2 linked regions of the Coturnix japonica genome follow. Each later gene encodes a partner of the first gene's protein in a complex. Links are inferred from orthologs where the notes say so. Each region holds a gene or a part of one and is shown in the gene's direction. Other genes may lie near its edges. The genes, in order: CMKLR1 and RARRES2.

What was found.
Region 2: the proteins of CMKLR1 (region 1) and RARRES2 are in contact, whole or in part, in a cryo-EM structure (PDB 8ZJG), measured with the Homo sapiens proteins. The link is inferred for Coturnix japonica from reciprocal best matches to the Homo sapiens genes CMKLR1 and RARRES2. Residues at the interface, in NP_001135815.1 of Homo sapiens: Asp20, Tyr21, Leu22, Asp23, Ser24, Ile25, Val26, Val27, Leu28, Phe88, Leu92, His95, Tyr103, His104, Asn116, Leu119, Ile120, Met123, Arg178, Leu183, His184, Gly185, Lys186, Ser188, Cys189, Phe190, Asn191, Trp203, Thr205, His217; in NP_002880.1 of Homo sapiens: Leu34, Phe37, His38, Phe60, Thr75, Ser76, Cys77, Arg96, Leu111, Gly112, Arg113, Leu114, Val115, His116, Cys117, Pro118, Ile119, Thr133, Leu136, Arg137, Gln139, Arg140, His146, Ser147, Phe148, Tyr149, Phe150, Pro151, Gly152, Gln153.

The regions. Positions count from the first base shown.
Region 1 is NC_029530.1:5,633,995-5,638,251, reverse strand, and holds the start of CMKLR1 (chemokine-like receptor 1), read left to right. Parts: upstream 1-1,254; 5' UTR 1,255-2,009; coding exon 2,010-2,122; intron 2,123-3,211; exon of another isoform or gene 3,212-3,214; coding exon 3,215-4,257. UniProt on the Homo sapiens protein: Receptor for the chemoattractant adipokine chemerin/RARRES2 and for the omega-3 fatty acid derived molecule resolvin E1.
Region 2 is NC_029517.1:381,811-385,591, forward strand, and holds RARRES2 (retinoic acid receptor responder protein 2), read left to right. Parts: upstream 1-1,406; 5' UTR 1,407-1,481; coding exon 1,482-1,646; intron 1,647-2,110; coding exon 2,111-2,215; intron 2,216-2,460; coding exon 2,461-2,565; intron 2,566-2,658; coding exon 2,659-2,772; 3' UTR 2,773-2,785; intron 2,786-2,893; 3' UTR 2,894-3,063; downstream 3,064-3,781. UniProt on the Homo sapiens protein: Adipocyte-secreted protein (adipokine) that regulates adipogenesis, metabolism and inflammation through activation of the chemokine-like receptor 1 (CMKLR1). Also acts as a ligand for CMKLR2.

The DNA.
Region 1 (4,257 bases):
TGACTGAACTCTGCGGCAGCCAACATGATCCTAACAGGGTGACAGCAGTGGGGATGGAATCTCTGCGTGCACTGAAGTGCCAGGAGTTACCCAGCTGAGAGGTAAATGCCTCCGGGTTTTGGTGTCCATCGGGTTGTGCCTGGGTCAGAGCAGAGCAATATTTGGGGCTCAGGGAAGGGTTGGCTGCAGCCAGCAGGAATTCTTTGCTTTCCCCATGGGGATTCAGCCAGCTGAGGGTTTTCTCCTCCCTGCTATTACAAAGTGGGTTTGGGGCTTGGGTTGATGATGGTGGTGACCTACAGGGCTGTGTATTAGGACCCTGTGGGTCACCACTACTCTCATTTGCTTGGAGTTTCTTTTGCTTGCCTCCAAAGTTCCCCCATGCCCCAATACAATCATGTCCCTCTGTCCGGCAGCAGCAGGCACATATCAATTTCCTTCTCTTAGTTTCCTTCCTCATTACCCCCTCTAAACTCTGCTGAGAGCGGCTCTGCAGGTGCCACATAAACCTTCCCATGATGTCCCCAACCACACGCTGGCTTTGTCCCCAAGCAGCCATGGTGATACCCTCAGATGGGGTGCAGATCCTCCTGGTTTGCAGTGAGGATGGCTCCCACCATGGGGTGGTTGTGTTTCCAGCCATGCCATGCATCTGGCTTGCTGGCACTGTGCCGTGCAGCTGGCTCCCTACAACGTGCAGGGAATTGGGATACATCCCCAGGAGAGATGCTCATCACACAGCGCTCACTGCAGCTCTCAACCCTTGTCCCATACCCAATAACAGGTGGTGTGGGGCTGGCGATTTTCTCTGTGCTTAACCTGGGGATCAGCATCATGTTTTGAGGTCTGATACTATTTCTGGGCAGAGCGGAGTGTGCAGGCTGTGACCCCCACACTGCTGTGTCCCTGCACTGCTTCTATGGACCGTCCCGTCCCAACCAGACGTGTACAGCGCTGCCCAGAAAAACACTGACTCATGCTGTTATTCTGTCCCACCCTGGGCACAGCCGGCTTTTTAAGGCTGCCTTTTCCAGTTATTCCTTTTTTATCTGCCTGTTCATAACTCAGCCTCTCTCGGGGTCCTGGCATTCAAGCATCGTGGATGCAGGTAGGACTCTCTGCCTCGGTTTCCCCTCTAGGAACAGGCTTTGCCTCCTCCCTCTGCTGATGGGGCTGCAGATTGTGGGGCTGTTCGTAGGGATTTGCAGGTGCCTGGATTTGGGAGGTGGGGGGTGCAGAGGGGTGGCAGCAGCGTGGGGCTCCCCACAAGCTGTTCTTCCCCATGGCATCACCATGCATCCAAGAGGGGGCAACTTTAAGAGGTCAAAAATGCCCTTTTGAAATGCCAGGAAAGTTTTTCTACATACATGTAACCTAAAAATAGGGCTCGGGTGTGCATTTCCCAGCAGGGTCCTCTGGGCATTTAGCAGCAGTGAGATCTGAGCTCTTGTTATGGACATTTTGATGGTGCCCAACTTGCACTCAGGACTGGGAACATCACACTGGGATGTCACTGCTGTGGTAGCTGCAAGCTGAAATAAGTGAGAACTGGAGCTGGTCATCATCCATTCCCATCCCATTCCATTCCCATCCCCTTCCCCTCCGTTCCCACACCCCCATACTGGGCTGGGAGGAAACTTGGGACTTGGGGCTTTGGTGTAGGGCAGCCACAAGGGGACGTAGAATCACTGCTTCACCTCACAGCTTGGGTGAACACGGGAGTCTGGCTCCTGTGGGGTATGAGGATGTCCTGTGCTCAGTGGGGACATGGACACACAAGGAAGGAGATGCTGTTTCCTAAGCATCCCTGTGGCTCAGTGCAGGGATAAGGCAGACCAACGTATTATTTCTTCCTCTGGCTGCACTCCCCTGTTTCCCCACTCACATCCGTCCTCCCAGCTGCGGAAGCCTTTTTTTTTGCCTAGAAAAGCTGCATTTGAAGGTTTTTTGCTGTTCTCTCCGCTTCCTGTTGCCGTCCCAAGAACAACAGCCCTGACCTCATCCTGGCGATGTGCGGGGCCGCCCTGGGCTCAGCCCTATGGGGGTCCCCAGCCGAGCACAGCTGCATGAATCACAGCTTTTTGGATTATTTGGGGCAGTTCCTGCGCTCATTTTTATGGAGGTAGGAGGACAGAGATGAATAGAGAACAGCGCGTAACGTGGTTTTGGCTCATGCTAAGCATTTTGCAGCCCAGAAGGAACACTGAAACATGATGATGTGTGGATTTGGTTTGTTGGTTGTTGTTGTTGCTGCCGTTTTACTTTTTCAGATATGCTTTATGGGATTTTTGCTACAGGGAGGAGAAATGGAGTTGGGGTTTCTCCAAGCCCAGGTTGGTAGGAATGGGGCCAGGTGCCGAGCTTTGCTTCTGGGGAGGTTAAGCCATGCACTAAGGGTGTGCAGGAGCAGGGCCAGCTCATGGCTGTAAATAGTGGCTTGTCCCATGGGCACCTCTCCTGGGGCTCCAGGAGGGGACTGGGATGCACTGTGTATGGGGGGATGCACTAAGCATCCTTTTGGCTTTGAAATCCATGGCATGGATGGAACCCCCACCAGCTGCTTGCTCAGAGATTAGCCCACCTTCCTCAAACCTCTGTGTCCTGATGGGAGTGTCACTGAGGGCAGGAAAGGGCAGAGAGTGGTGGGGCTCCTTGGGAAGGAACTTGAGGAAAAGCCCATGGAGAAACAATAGCTTATTGTGTAAACACATGGGGGCTTGGGAGCGGTGCTGGCAGGAGGATGATGTTCAGCAGTGCACAGCCTGGTTGGGTTTGAGGTGTAGAGCCCCAGAGCTGTTAGCAGGGAGCAGTGGAACGTGCTTAATGGGGGCTCAGAGTGGCTGGCAGAGCCCAGCTTTGGATAATAGCACTTAGTGCTCACAGTTAGCATTTTGCTCAGTGCTTTGGAGAAAGAAAGAGAAAAACTGTAATACTTTGCAGTTTGGAAAATCTCAGAGCTGTTAATAAGCCTAATACTGATTGTTTCCTTGGAATTAAGTAGGCAATAGACCTGTTTTGGGGAGTAAGGCTGCAACCACATTCTGGTGAGCACAACCAAGATGAGCTCAGCAGCTCCCAGAGCTGGTGCTGCTCCTGATCAGGGCATAAACATTCCAGATGAACCCCAGTAGTGGAGCTGGACCTAAGGGATCCCTCAGCATCCCCATGGCCATTCTAGCCATGCCTCTGATCTAACACTGTGTTTGCTTAGCAGGGCATTGCCATCTGGAGAGTCCGGGACTGACCAGGCGCTGGTTTATGCACTAACCATGGCGTTTTCCAATTCATCTGACTACTCTGATGATTCTGATATCTATGACTACTTGGATTACACCTACGAAGAGCCAGGCAGCGTGTGGACAGGCCCTTCCTATGACCCAAAGGACATTGCAAGGATCCTCTCTGTTGTCATCTACAGCGTGTCCTGCGTGCTGGGCATCCTGGGGAATGGCCTTGTCATAGCCATCATCACTCTGAAGATGAAGAAGTCAGTCAATGCCATTTGGTTCCTCAACCTGGCCGTCGCTGACTTCCTCTTCAACATCTTCCTTCCCATAAACATTGCGTACACGGCCATGCGCTACAACTGGATCTTTGGGACCGTCATGTGCAAGCTGAACTCCTTCCTCCTCATCCTCAACATGTACACCAGTGTCTTTCTGCTCACCACCATCAGCTTTGATCGCTACGTGTCGGTGGTTTTCCCCGTCTGGTCTCAAAACCATCGGTCCACCAACCTGGCATGTATGGTTTGCCTGATCATCTGGATGGTTGGTATCATCATGAGCTGCCCTTCTCTTGTCTTCCGAGATACAGCACAAGCCCGCAACTCTATCATTTGTTTCAGCAACTTCTCCCTGTCCAGAAATAGGTCTTACCAAGCACTGGCATTAGTGAGACACCGAACGGTGAACATCACCAGGCTCTTTGCTGGATTCCTCTTGCCCATCTCTATCATCACCTTCTGCTACATCTCCATTGCCTTCAGCCTGCGGCGAAACCGCCTTGCCAAGTCCAAGAAGCCCTTCAAGATCATTGTCACCATCATTGTCACCTTCTTTCTGTGCTGGAGCCCCTACCACCTGCTGAACATCCTGGAAACAGAGCCCGACCTGATCCCACGCTCTGTGTTTGAGATTGGCATCCCCATCACCACGGCACTTGCTGCCTCCAACAGCTGCATGAACCCTGTCCTCTATGTCTTCATGGGCCAGGACTTCAAGAAGTTCAAGGTGACCATCCTTTCCAGGCTGGTGA
Region 2 (3,781 bases), on another chromosome or scaffold:
ATGCCCCATCCCTGCAGGCATTCAAGGCCAGGCTGGATGTGGCTCTGGGCAGCCTGGGCTGTGGTTGTGACCCTGCACATAACGGGGTTGGGATGGATGAGCACTGTGGGCCTGTGCAATGCAGGCCGTGCTGTGATTCTGCTGGAGAGAAGCACTGCTGGCTCAGAGACAAACTCAGCCCTTTCAGGCCAGAAAAACTCCAAGGAAAGCAGCCAAATGCAGAGAAAAACTGTAAAGCGTGGGTAGCTGGGCTCAGGTGAACCTAATGAGGTTCAACATGGCAAAGTGCAAGGTTTTGCACTTGGGCTGGAAGAACCCCAGGCACCTGTACAGGCTGGGAGGAGTGGTCCTTGAGAGCAGCTCGGCTGAGAAGGACCTGGGGGTCCTGATAGATGAGAAACTTAACATGAGCCAGCAGTGCGCTCTGGCGGCCCGGAAAGCAAATGGGATCCTGGGCTCCATCAGGAGAGGGGTGGTCAGCAGGGATAGGGAGGTGATCGTCCCTCTCTACTCTGCTCTTGTGAGGCCCCATCTGTTGTACCGTGTCCAGGTGTGGAGCCCTCAGTACAAGAAAGATATGGAGATTTTGGAAAGGGTCCAGAGGAGGGACAGGAAGATGATCAGGGGGCTGGAGCACCTCCCCTATGAGGACAGGCTGAGGGAGTTGGGTTTGTTCAGCCTGGAGAAGAGAAGGTTGCGGGGTGACCTCATTGCAGCCTTTCAGTACCTGAAGGGAACTTACTCCCAGGAGGGGAGTAAACTCTTGGAAAGGGCTGATAATAGCAGGACACAGGGAAATGGTTTTAAGTTAAAAGAGGGAAGATTTAGGTTGGATGTTAGCGGGAAGTTCTTCACTAGGAGAGTGGTTAGGCCCTGGAACAGGCTGCACAGGGAGGTTGTGGATGCCCCGTCCTTGGAGGTGTTCAAGGCCAGGTTGGACGGGGCCCTGGGCAACCTGATCTAGTAAAGGTGTATGTTTGGTGGCCCTGCCAGGCAGGGGGGTCAGAACTACATGATCCTTGAGGTCCCTTCCAACCCGGGTCATTCTGTGATTCTGTGTGCTTGGAATGGCAGAACCCAGAAAGCTCCCCAAAGTGCCAGCTCTGTGCACTGCTGCTTGTGGGGTTCCTGAGGGCGGGGGATGTTGTTTGCAGTCCCATCTCCACCGTGGGGCTCAGGCCCCCATCAGCCCCAGAGCCATCGCTGCGCTGCTGCCTTAGGACAGATCTCTGCTCTGTCTTTGCCCCCCTTCACCTCTCCCCACCGGGCTTTGATGTGCTGGGGACGGAGCTGACGATGGGGTCAAGGCTGCCGCCATCCATCCCCGCGCGCCTCTGGCCACAGCCGCAGCCCCTCCTCTGCGGGGGCTGAGCGGGGCCGTCCGGTGGGCGGAAAGGGGCAGTTCCCAGGAAATCGGTTAATGAGAGACCAAAATCAACAAGCGGTGGTGGGCAGGAGGCTGGCCGGGCCGCACGGCGGGGATGAAGCTGCTGCTGGGCATCGCCGTGGCCGTGCTGGCGTTGGCAGACGCCGGGCAGAGCCCGCTGCAACGGCGCGTGGTGAAGGATGTGCTGGACTACTTCCACAGCCGCAGCAACGTCCAGCTGCTCTTTAGGGAGCAGTCAGTAGAAGGGGCCGTCGAGAGAGTGAGTGCCGGGGGGGGTATGGGGACCCCCGTCCTGCTCCAGGGGGGCTGTGGAATTGTGTGAGGTGAGGGGCGAGCTGTCACCGAATGAGGGGGACGGTGGGTGGCGTGGTGTCACTGCTGGGGATGTAGAGCTCCACGGCGGTGCCTGCTGGCACGGCACGGGGCTCAGCTACTCATTAACCATACTGTGAGCAGGACTGAACAGTGGCCGGTGTCCTGCCGTCCCCTGGCAGGACACAGCATCCCATTCCTGTCCCCTCCCTGGCAGGGAGCTGGGCACTGTAGGATGGGTTTATACTGAGGGTTGGGAGCCTCAGTGCAGTGCCTGGAGTTACTTTTTGGGGCTGGGGTCACTTTTTGGGGGCTGGGGTCCCTCCATTCCTACTCCTGGTCCTGCTGACACTCTGGGGCCCCCAGCCCACCTCCCCCCACACCTCTCATGGGACATTTCCCCTGCACCAGGTGGACTCATCGGGGACGTACGTCCAGCTGCGCCTTAACCTTGCACAGACGGCATGCAAGAAGCAGACACAGAGGAGACAGAACTGCAGGATCATAGAGAGCAAGGTGAGGTGGGGGCTGCACCCCCTGAGCCAGCACCCCACCCCCAGACACAGGGACAGGGTGGTCTCACCCCTTCTCCCTCCCTCCTGCCCTGGTTGCCATGCACCAGTCCTCTCCAGCAGAGCTGCTGGTGCTGGGGGTGATCAGACATGGCCATGCCCAGCTCCAGGGGCGTGGGGGACATCCCCAGGGCTGGTGGTGGGGGCCGGGTGCTGGGACTGCTTGTGATGGCCACGTTGTCTCCACAGAGGAAGCCAGCCTGCTTGGCCTGCTACAAGTTTGACAACAGCGATGTCCCCAGGGTGCTGGACAAGTACTATAACTGTGGCCCCAGCCACCACCTGGTTGTGAAGGTGAGCTGTTCTAGGGGGGGGCTCAGCCCCAAGAAGTGCTCTGGGAGCTGGCACATCCCACAGCTATACCAGCAGCCATGCTCTGCCCTGCAGGAGATCAAACACCGTGATGAGGCTGAGTGCCGGGCTGTGGAGGAGGCCGGCAAGGCGAGTGATGCCCTCTATCTGCCAGGCATGTTTGCTTTCTCCAAGGGGCTGCCAGCCTAGGTGCCCATGCACGGTAAGGCCCACCTGGGATGTTCCTCTGGGGTGAGCATGGGGAGCTGCAGGCAGCAGCCTCCTCCTGCAACCAGCCCTGAGCACCCCCCCGTCCTACACCTCTCCGCAGTACAGCAGCCACCACATCCCCATCCCAGGAGGAAGATGCTGACCTGGGGCCCCCAGCCCCCAGCTTGCTGACCCCCCAGCACTGTGCAGTGAAGGGAAGGTCATCCCACACTGCCCCCCAGCTCCCGGCAGTGTCTGCATGCACTATTAAACCCCAGCTCTGCCTCTCGTTCTCCGCTTCATTCCCACCCAGGATCACTGTGTGTGGGGCAATGGGGGTGGGCTCCACCGCCCTGCTGTGCCACCCCCAGCCCGAGCCACACTCCGCTCTGCAGGCACACTGGTGGTCTTGGGAGGAGGGATGTGGATGCGCAGGGGCCCGGCACAAAGCAGCAGAGACCTCAGGGACAGCACATTTACTACACAGCTGCTCCCCGGCAGCAGGACCCCGTGACCTCCCTCAGTCCCCACGCGCAGCCCCCCAGGTCCGCACCCCTCTTTGCAGTGCAGTCAGTTCCAAAACCTGCCAGTGCTGGTCCAAGGGCGGGAGTCCATTCCCCGCATCCCAGGTCCCCGTGGAGTCCTCGAGCTGGGAACACACAGGGGTCCATTCCACACACATGGGGATGGAGCAGCACGGAGCAGAGCGGCCGCCTCGGTGCCTTTGGGCTGCTCAGAAAACATAGGATCCAGGGTCGGTGCGCCCGCTCAGCGCCCGCTCAGCCTGCGCAATGGTGTCGTCGGCGCGCCGGCCCAACTCGCGGCACTCCCGCAGCGCCTCGCTGAACTGCCGGTACGCCTCCTCCACGATGGAGCTGCGGCGCAGCGGCGGTGGCTCCCAGAACCCGGCCTGCACCCAGGGCTGGGCTGTGCGCGGTGGAGCGGGGCCGGGGCTGCGGCCCAATGAGCTGTCGAGGTCACAGCACAGCTGGAAGAGCTCGCTGCCACG